Linked DNA regions of Macaca fascicularis. The protein of the gene in region 1 interacts with the protein of each later gene in a pairwise test. Links are inferred from orthologs where the notes say so. Each region holds a gene or a part of one and is shown on either strand. Other genes may lie near its edges. The genes, in order: HOMEZ, SNRPB2 and MAD2L1BP.

The links.
Region 2: the proteins of HOMEZ (region 1) and SNRPB2 interact in binary tests that used the Homo sapiens proteins (3 or more experiments, as listed by UniProt). The two-hybrid records come from large-scale screens. The link is inferred for Macaca fascicularis from reciprocal best matches to the Homo sapiens genes HOMEZ and SNRPB2.
Region 3: the proteins of HOMEZ (region 1) and MAD2L1BP interact in binary tests that used the Homo sapiens proteins (3 or more experiments, as listed by UniProt). The two-hybrid records come from large-scale screens. The link is inferred for Macaca fascicularis from reciprocal best matches to the Homo sapiens genes HOMEZ and MAD2L1BP.

The regions. Positions count from the first base shown.
Region 1 is NC_088381.1:91,047,316-91,050,969, reverse strand, and holds part of HOMEZ (homeobox and leucine zipper protein Homez), read left to right. Parts: intron 1-3,195; coding exon 3,196-3,654. UniProt on the Homo sapiens protein: May function as a transcriptional regulator.
Region 2 is NC_088384.1:70,554,843-70,558,596, forward strand, and holds the start of SNRPB2 (U2 small nuclear ribonucleoprotein B''), read right to left. Parts: upstream 2,254-3,754; 5' UTR 2,075-2,253; exon of another isoform or gene 1,883-2,074; intron 606-1,882; 5' UTR 568-605; coding exon 504-567; intron 109-503; coding exon 1-108. UniProt on the Homo sapiens protein: Involved in pre-mRNA splicing as component of the spliceosome. Associated with sn-RNP U2, where it contributes to the binding of stem loop IV of U2 snRNA.
Region 3 is NC_088378.1:127,883,401-127,886,156, forward strand, and holds the end of MAD2L1BP (MAD2L1-binding protein), read right to left. Parts: intron 1,700-2,756; exon of another isoform or gene 1,625-1,699; coding exon of another isoform or gene 1,538-1,624; coding exon 1,025-1,537; 3' UTR 616-1,024; downstream 1-615. UniProt on the Homo sapiens protein: May function to silence the spindle checkpoint and allow mitosis to proceed through anaphase by binding MAD2L1 after it has become dissociated from the MAD2L1-CDC20 complex.

The DNA.
Region 1 (3,654 bases):
AGGAGGGTCACTTGATCCCAGGAATTCGAGGCTATAGTGCATTATCATTGCACCTATGCATAGCACACCAGCCTGGGCAACATAACGAGACCTTGTCTCTAAAAAAAAAATAGTGGCTGGGCGCGGTGGCTCATGCCTGTAATCCCAGCACTTTAGGAGGCCAAGGCAGGTGAATCACCTGAGGTCAGGAGTTCGAGACCAGCCTGGCCAACAGAGCATTAGATAGGAGTTCTAAATTTCTCTTCAAAGAATCAATATATCAGTATGTTCAATTCTCTGCCTTCTACTTTTAAACTTAACTTCCTTGTAAAGCAACCTTTTTCGATCACCTGTTCCACCCTGACCCATTCTGATTGCCTGCTGCACCCTAACTCATTTCGATTACCTGCTCCACCCTAACTCATTTCGATTACCTGCTCCACCCTGACTCATTCCGATTACCTGCCCCATCCTGACTCATTCTGATTACCTGCTCCACCCTGCCTCATTCCGATTACCTGCTCCACCCTGACTCATTCTCCACCCTGACTCATTCTCCACCCTGACTCATTCCGATTTCCTGCTCTGCCATAACCAAACCACTCACCCAGTCACTCTCTTTAAATTAGCCAATCGGAATTAGTTTAGTCTGTGCGGTCTAACCCTAGCCAATAGGGGAATGACAGCAGCAGGGGCCACATGTGTCAGGGGTAAGAACCCCTTCTCCTCCCTTGTCCAGGTGTGTGCTCACCATTACTCCATCTGTGAGGGCGCACCCTTCTATAGAAGTAAATTGCCCTGCTGAGAAGAAAAAAAAAAAGAAAATTTTATATTCGATTGCTATTTCTTTTGTGGCACCGAAACCTTATTTATAACAATAGTGAAACCTCGTCTCTACTAAAAATACAAAAATTAGCTGGGCATCATGGTGCACGCTTGTAATTCCAGCTACTCGGGAGGCTGAGGCAGGAGAATTGCTTGAACTCAGGAGGTGGAGGTTGCAATGAGCCAAGATCGCGCCACTGCACACCAGCCTGGGTGACAAAAGACTCTGTCTCAAAAAAAAAAAAAAAAAAAAAAAAGTTATTAACAGTTCTGGCCAGGGGCCGTGGCTCAGGCCTGTAATCCCAGCACTTTGGGAGGCTGAGGCCAGTGGATCACTTGAGGTCAGGAGTTCGAGACCATCCTGGTTAACATGGTGAAACCTCATCTCTACTAAAAATACAAAATGTAATAGGGCATGGTGGCGCACACCTGTAGTCCCAGCTACTCGGGAAGTTGAGGCACAAGAATCACTTGAACCCAGGAGGCAGAGGCTGCAGTGAGCTGAGATCATGTCACTGCACTCCAGTCTAGGCAACAGAGCGAGACCCTCCCTGCTCAAAAAAACAAAACAAAATAAAACAAAAAAAAAACAGTTCTCAGGGCCAGGTGCAGTGGCTCACTCCAGTAATCTCAGCACTTTGGGAGGCTGAGGTGGGAGGATCACTTGAGGCTAGGAGTTTGAGACCAGCCTAGGCAACATAGTGAGACCCTGTCTACAAAAAATTTTAAGATTAGCCAGATATGGCTGCATATACCTGTAGTCCTAGCTACTTGGGAGGCTGAGGTGGGAGGATTGCTTGAGCCTAAGAGTTCAAAGCTGCAATGAGCCATGATCACGCCACCACACTCCAGCCTATGCAACAGAGTGAGACCCTGTCTCTTGAAAAAACAAAAACAAAAATGTACACACACACACAAACAAGTTGAAATTATTGCTCCTCTTGTTTTTGTGGTTGAGTCTTCACTGTGTGATTCTTGTTCCATGAATTTAGAAGGTGAGAGTTGGTGGATAGCTTCTAGAAGTGGGTTTGAATAGGAAAGATGAAGGCTGTATCAGAGCTATGATGGTGCCACTGCACTCCAGCCTGGGTGGCCTGGGTGACAGAGCAATATTATCTCTTAAAAAAAAAACAAAACCCCACCAGCTGGCTGTGGTGACTCATACCTGTAATCCTAGCACTTTGGGAGGCCAGAGGCAGGTGGATCACGAGGTCAGGAGTTCAAGACCAGCCTGGCCAAGATGGTGAAACCCCATCTCTACTAAAAATACAAAAAGTAGCCAGGCGTGGTGGTGGGCACCTGTAATCCCAGCTACTCGGAAGGCTGAGGCAGAGAATTGCTTGAACCCGGGAGTGGAGGTTGCAGTGAGCCAAGATCGTGCCACTGCACTCCAGCCTGGCAACAGAGCGAGACTCAGTCTCAAACACACACACACACACACACACACACAAACACACTAAAAAAAAACTGTATCAGGATCAGTTTTCCTTCTTAACCTCTAAAGACAGATTTTTTTTTTTTTTTTTTTTTTTTTTTTTGAGACGGAGTCTTACCCTGTGACCCAGGCTGGAGTGCAATGGCACTGATCTCGGCTTACTGCAACCTCCGCCTCCTGGATTCAGATGATTCTCCTGCCTCAGCCTCCTGAGTAGCTGGGATTACAGGCACTCACCGCCATGCCCAGCTAATTTTTGTATTTTTAGTAGAGACGGGGTTTCACCATGTTGGGCAGGATGGTCTCGATCTCCTGACCTTGTGATCCTCCCGCCTTGGCCTCCCAAAGTGCTGGGATTACAGGCATAAGCCACCGTACCCGGCCTTTTTTTGTTTGTTTTAGATAGGGTCTCACTCTATCACCCAGGCTGGAGTGCAGTGGTGCAAGCATAGCTCACTGCAGCCTCGACCTCCCAGGCTCAAGCAGTCCTCCTGCCTCAGCCTCCCAAGTTGTTGGGACTACAGGCACGAACCACCATGCCCAGCTGATTTTTAAATTTTTTGTAGTCTCACCATGTTGCCCAAGCTGGTATCAAACCCCTGGGCTCAAGCAATCCCTCTCACCTAGGCCTCCTGAAGTGCTGGGATTACAGGTATGAGCCACCATGACTGGCTTTAAAGACAGATTTTTTTCTTGGAACAACACTCACCAGTCATGTGACTTGGGGTAATTTAACATCTATGGACTTTAGTCCACAGAAAATCAGAATTAAAGCAGGGTCTGATGACTTGTTTATGAAAATTAAATAAGAAACTGTTGAAGCACTTAAAAAGCAATACAACATGATGCAAATAGAAACTTAATTGTTTTGGTGTCCAGCAGTTAGTTTGGTAGAAATTGAGCAATGTGTCAGAAGAGGAGACCCAGTGATTGAGCTGTTTCTTTTCTTATTACAGCTATCTCTGAAGGGCACAAATCAGAAAGCACCATGCCTCCTAATAAAGAGGCCAGCGGTCTCAGTAGTTCACCAGCGGGGCTCATCTGCCTCCCTCCAATCTCTGAGGAGCTACAGCTTGTGTGGACCCAAGCAGCCCAGACCAGTGAGCTAGACAGCAATGAACACCTGCTAAAAACCTTCAGCTACTTTCCCTATCCCAGCCTAGCAGACATTGCCCTTCTCTGCCTACGTTATGGGTTGCAGATGGAGAAAGTCAAGACTTGGTTTATGGCCCAGCGCCTCCGCTGTGGTATTAGCTGGTCATCTGAAGAAATAGAAGAAACTCGAGCCCGAGTAGTCTACCGTCGGGACCAACTCCATTTCAAATCCCTTCTCTCTTTTACTCATCATGCAGGACGGCCCCCAGAGGAGGTGCCTCCTCCTCCAATGCCAGCTCCAGAACAAGTTGGTATTGGAA
Region 2 (3,754 bases), on another chromosome or scaffold:
CCTTAAATATGACAAAGGCCTGCCCCCTCATCTTCATGGTCTTTAAAGCCACAATGTCCACCACATGACCGAATTGAGAAAACAGGGCATACAGGGATCTCTTCAATTCTGTCCAAATTAGAAAAGAAACAAGTCATTGGTAATAAGATAATGACAAAAGTCTTCATAAAATGATACTGCATTGAGTTGCCTCCCCACCATTCACTTATTTATAGTTATATATATTTAATGTTTATAAAAACATATACTATTCCCATTGGCTATATGTAATTTTATAAGTCAGATGAAACCATTATATCTATGAGTAGAAACAGACTGTACACACTGTCAATTCCTACCTATTTTTGTTTTTTAAAAGTCTTCAAATCCCTATAGGTAATGGGATAAACCATTATTTCAGGCACTAAGACGACGAGGTAAGAGGTTTTGAGGCAATACAATTTTTAAGACAGTAGTAAATAAACACATTTTAGTAGTGAACAAGTATTTTTAAAAGCACTTACCTTCCTTTTTAATTTTGTCATTCATATTGTTGATATAAATTGTATGATTTGGTCTGATATCCATGTTTGTGTTAAATTCTTCAGAAGGAGACAGTAAAAAATCTGTTATAAAAAGGAAGGAGTAAATTATACTGGACTGTGGCATAAGGACACAACACACGAATTATTAACCTTTCACTTCTCTTTCAATCCCAATTGTTAGATGATGTGAGTTTGGCTGAAGCCTTTAGTGTACCTCCAGCACCTACTAGCCCTCCTTTTCATACAAAAGGAGAAGAGTTTCTCATGCTCAAAACTTGGAGCACCAATACCTAGCCAGATTTTAGTAACATCATTTAATTCAACACATTTATTTTCACACTTACTTTTCACTTATGACAAGTGATATTTTCTTTCCACCTCCTCAATAATTTAAAATGTAGATTTGAAGAAAAATGACCAAGTAGCAAATGTACATCCAGTGAAAATCATAAGGTTAGACATTAATGGAGTTTGCCAACTACTTCTTGGGTGCACTTACAAAGTCCTTCCATACCTATTACTTAATTTGTATACAGTATCACCAAGCTGTCTGGACTCCAAGGTTACCTCTAACCGACTTGAAAGAAGGGAGCTCAATGACAGCAGTGTGGCATGACCGTTAAACTCAGATTCTAGTACCAACCATATGTGAATTCAAATCCTATTTATGCTTCTTATTAGCTGTTTGCCTGAGGGAAGTTCCTTAATCTGTCAGGTCCTCATCAGTAAAATGAGAATGGTAACAGAACCTACCCAACCGAGCTCAGAAGACTAAATGAGTTCTAGCACAGTTTTGCATCAACGGTAAGCACTTAAAGTAGCTATTATTAACAGCTATTACCAGTTAAGGAACGTGCCTAAGGTCACACAGCTAATAAGCATCAAGCCTGGAAATTCAGCCCTTGCTTTCTCCTCTACACTTCTCTTCCTCGTCCACCACACTATTGCATTTTTTTAACGTGGTTTTTACTTGCAAACTGTGAAGCTGCTTGATTTCCTTGTGTGCCCCACATATTCCTTTATCTCACAAATATTTACGGAGCATCCACTGTACGTGAATAGCATTGGATGATTGACAAGGGAAGAGCCTACAAGCAGGGGCTGCACTTGTGCAGGTAACAGGTAAAACATAACGCTTCTCCAAGCCTTGGGACCCCCTAAATCGAAATCTGGAGAAGCGGCAAGGGTCACAAAGGAGACGACGAAAGGGAAGTGACTGAGGCAGAGGTCAAACTGAAGGTAGGGGGACAAAGGGGAGGCTCTTGCGGGGTTTCATGCGAGGTTTGATCGTGGGCTGGACTGTTACAGGGGCACCCTGAATTACCCGCCACTACCAAAAGGAAACCGCTGGAAGACACCTGAAAGCGCAGTGAACTGTCAGCGCCTCGCACAAGCAGAAGGACATTATCCTTTACTTCGTAAGCGCAAGCCTCCCGCCTCTCCAGACACAAGCACCTTCGCCCGAGGCCCCCTAACGAAGTCCGAGGGAGCTGCCACGCGATGCCCGGCCCCTGAGTCAGTCTCCCATCTCTTCCTCGCCCCCAGCCTACTCGGGTACTCCGAGATCCAAATCCGGGCCAAACGCGTCCCCACCCCAGCTTCGCGCTTCGTCCGCTCCCAGCTGCAACAGGGGAGAGAAGGGCCGAGGAGCCAGGAAAACCGAAACAGCGAGGTAAAAGGTGCACGAACCCACCTAAGGCCTACGCAGTCTCCCGTAAGAACCAAAAGCAGGAAACGGAGCCAGGCACCGGAAGTAACGTTGCCACGCTCCTCAATCGAGCGCCCACAAGTCTACAAGCCGAGCGCAGAGCAGATCGATGCTTCCTGGTCTCTGGCGGCCCGTAGGTAATCTCTTTGCGCGTGCGTATGCCCTGCGGGCAGGAGAAGAGTCCGGAAATGGAAATGGGGAAAGGGACGGGGTTTGTGGGGACAATGCTGCGAGGGAATAGGGAAGAAGAGTGAATCATTTCCCTTACCACGACCTTGCGAAGCTTTGCCCCGCGCAAGAGTGCCTTCCACCTTTACAAATCCTATGTAATTTTACAGGCTCTGCCTCTCATGCTACGGGGCAGTTAGTCCTGGTTTCGCCCTTCTTTGGGCTCTGGCTGCCCCGGTTTAAAATCACCTTTAGGATAGCCGGTTCCTCCGGCCTCCAAGTCTCCTCTGATTCCTGGGGCTCTGCAGTAACTGTTCTCCAACACTCTGCTGATGAACTTCAATCTCAGAGGCTACCCAGTTTGAGGGCCCAGGGCAAACAGAACTGGTGTCTGCCCAATTCTCATCTCTCACCAGATAAGGCAACCATGCTGAGTAGAACCCAATCATCTGTAAGATCATCTGCCTCAACTCACTCGAAAAAATAATTCCCTACCACCCTTCCCACTCTTTTCTTCCCACAAAAAGTCTAGATTTTTCTAGGGTAGTCTAACGAGTTAGTATTTGTGCCAAGCTGAATGGGAATTCCCAAAAAAATTCCCATGCTTTCATTCATTCATCCATTCATCAGATGTCTGTAAAGCATCACCTGGAATATGAAATGGTTGTTAAGAGTCAAGTGGAACCTAATCTTGTACCCTCTGCTTAACTAATCTCTCTGATCTTCACTCTTTTCGTCTGTAAAATAGGGATCCTAATAGTATCTCCTTCTAGTTGTTGTAGGCATTAAATGAGCTAAAATAAATGTAAAGTGGTTGGCACATTACCAGACACAAAATAAATGCTCAAAAATGTTATTTCTGAATTCTGGCTATAACTTGGTTATATTGGTGAGGCTCAAAAATGTTATTTCTGAGTTCTGGCTATAACTTGGTTATATTGGTGAGGCAGGTAGCTTGTCAAATAAGTTAGTTTTATCAGCTGGGAATTTTTATTTTTTAAAAAACACCTAAAGTTGCAACAACTTGAAAATAATATAAGCTTCTTAAGGGTGGGGATTTTGTCTGCTCTGTTCACTCAAGTACCCTTAGTAATGAGAATAGTGACTGATAATTAATATGTATTGGATAAATGAATGAATGACATGGAAAACTAGGCAACAGTAAACAAATATGCTTTGAACATGCAGATGAGTGTAGAAAATGTTAAGGGATCACAGAAAAACATCCTTTTATTATATAGATCTAATACTACAAGAAATGGCTGAGTGTAGTAGCTCACACCTGTAATCCCAGCATTTGCGGAGGCTGAGATAGGAGGACTGGTTGAGGCCAGGAGTTTGAAATCATCCTGGG
Region 3 (2,756 bases), on another chromosome or scaffold:
CTTCCCACATAAAGATGACCTCTGCTTTGGGGGATACAGAATTTAAGCATCACAAAAATCTGTATGTGATAAGAAAAGCACATTGGCTAAAAGATAGCTAATGAGGACTCTAGTCCTAACTGTGTTATCAAAGTACATATGCACTTGGCCAAGTCACTTAACTTCCTAGATTAGCCTGGGGCTGAAGAAGAGAAAAAATCATTATTAAAAAATCCTAAGGCTGGGCACAGTGGCCCACACCTGTAATCCCAGCACTTTGGGAGGCCAAGGCAGGTGGATCACTTGAGGTCAGGAGTTTGAGACCAGCCTGGCCAATATGGTGAAACCCCATCTCTGCTAAAAATACAAAAATTATCTGGGTGTGGTGGTGGGCACCTGCAATCTCAGCTACTCGAAGGCTAAGGCAGGAGAATTCCTTGAACCTGGGAGGCGGAAGTTGCAGTGAGCCAAGATTATGCCACTGCACTCCAGCCTGGGCGATAGAGCAAGACTCCATCTCAAAAAAGAAAAATATAATAAATTTTTGAGACGCCCTGAAGCAGAAGAGGCCAAGGAGAAAGACAAAATAGCCTAAAACCTGACAAGTTATTTTAAGTCAAAAGAATTTCAGGAAAATATAATAAGAATCTATTTATTTTATATTTAAATTCATAAGTCACATCCACATTATGTTCCTGGGAAAAATTCTGAAAGGACACAGCAAGGAGCAGAAAGGGCCACCTTCATGGAGTTTCTGTCTATGGACCCATCTTTGCTTTACAACCCCTAACAGAAATACCTGACCCAGCACCCTCTGGGAAAATCAACCTTTGATTCAAAGAGATGTTGTTCAGCAATGATTACAGTCACCGCCACATGCCATCAGCCCATCAGGAAACCTGAGGAGGGGAGGCAGACAACCAGAAGGAGAGTTGCTTCGTCTCTCACCAGGAAGAAACTCTAGCTCCAAACTAGATGGGTAATTCAGTGCCACATGAAGAAAGATAATTCAGCCATTGTGTTTTTATAATTAAGAAGCACTCATTCACTCGCGGAAGCCTTTAAGTGTCACTGGTGCCTGGAACCAAATGTAGTCTTCCCAAGCCGTGGTTCGGATGGAAGGTCTGCCACATGACAGGGTCACAGTCAGTTTATGGCCCCGGCTGGGCACTCGATAGTTGAGCTTGGGTTGAAACCAATCTTCTCCACAGTCGCGGTGTCCCTGTGCCATGATGATGGTGCCCATGAGAGGAGGAGCCTGAAGCTCACTAAAGGCATCAGCCATGAATATGGCTCGGAAGAGACGGCGCAAACAAGCTGCTGTGCTCAGGCTCTGGTCCACGCTGTAGGGGGCCAGCAGAGACAAATCGAGTTCATAGAACTCCTTGGGGCTTAGGGAATTGCCCCCAAGGAGAATCAGCACTCGTGGTACTAGTGTCCGTGCAAAGAAGTCCTCCAGGTGGCTGAGGACACTCTCCAGTTCTGCCACAGCTTGTTGGCATTTCCTGCTGCTCACCTCAGTGGTGGCCCGAGGTTTCTTCTTCAGCATCTCCTCTGCCTGTGAGGACAAAGAATGGCGGGAGAGAAGAACAAGGCAGGGGGAAGCTAATGCCCTTTGAAAAGAACCCTGCTGGGATGTGTACATAGACTTACAGGACTGAATTTCTAGCTCAATGAACCGCCACAGCCACAACACTGTGTTTTATCAGAGGGCATTATACTGAAAAGGAAAATATATTATTTGTACAAAACCATAATTCTCCCACATATAGAACAGCAAACACAGTGTTCTGAAGGTGGAGAATATCCAGATATAAACAACTAAAATAGAGATTTGGTAGTATGACAAAGTGACAACAAATTTTTGCTATACAGGGAGTGATAACAGGAATAAGGATTATTTGGTCTAATAAACATGACTCTGAACTTGTTCTTCCACTTAAACATAGTAAACTGAACAATGCTTATTTGCGCTTCCACCTGAAATACTACAAAATGAGAGAAAAGAAATTAAGAAACAAATGAACGAAAGAAGAGGAAAGACCGAGAAAGAAAACTCCCAAGGGCAAAGAACTGGAGACTACACAACACTAGTCAAATGCAAACACAAAGTTTTGGAAGACAGAAAGAGGATGAAGAGTTGGCCGAGCGCAGTGGCTCATGCCTACAATCCCAGCACTGAGAGGCCGAGGCAGGTGGATCATGAGGTCAGGAGATCAAGACCATCCTGGCTAACACAGTGAAACCCTGTCTCTACTAAAAACACACAAAATTAGCCTTGCCGGGCACGGTGGCTCATGCCTGTAATCCCAGCACTTTGGGAGGCCGAGACAGGCAGATCACAAAGTCAGGAGATCGAGACCATCCTGGCTAACACGGTGAAACCCCGTCTCTACTGAAAATACAAAAAATTAGCCGGGCGTGGTGGCGGGCGCCTCTAGTCCCAGCTACTCGGGAGGCTGAGGCAGGAGAATGGCGTGAACCCAGGAGGTGGAGCTTACAGTGAGCCGAGATGGCGCCACTGCACTCCAGCCTGGGCGACAGTGCGAGACTCCGTCTCAAAAAAAAAAAAAAAATTAGCTGAGCGTGGTGGCGGGTGCCTGTAGTCCCACCTACTTGGGAGGCTGAGGCAGGAGAATAGCATGAACCCGGGAGTCGGAGCTTGCAGTAAGCCGAGATTACGCCACTGTACTCCAGCCTGGGCGACAGAGCAAGACTCTGTCTCAAAAAAAAAGAAAAAAAAGAAAAGAAAGAAGGTGAAGAATTAAGAGTTCAAG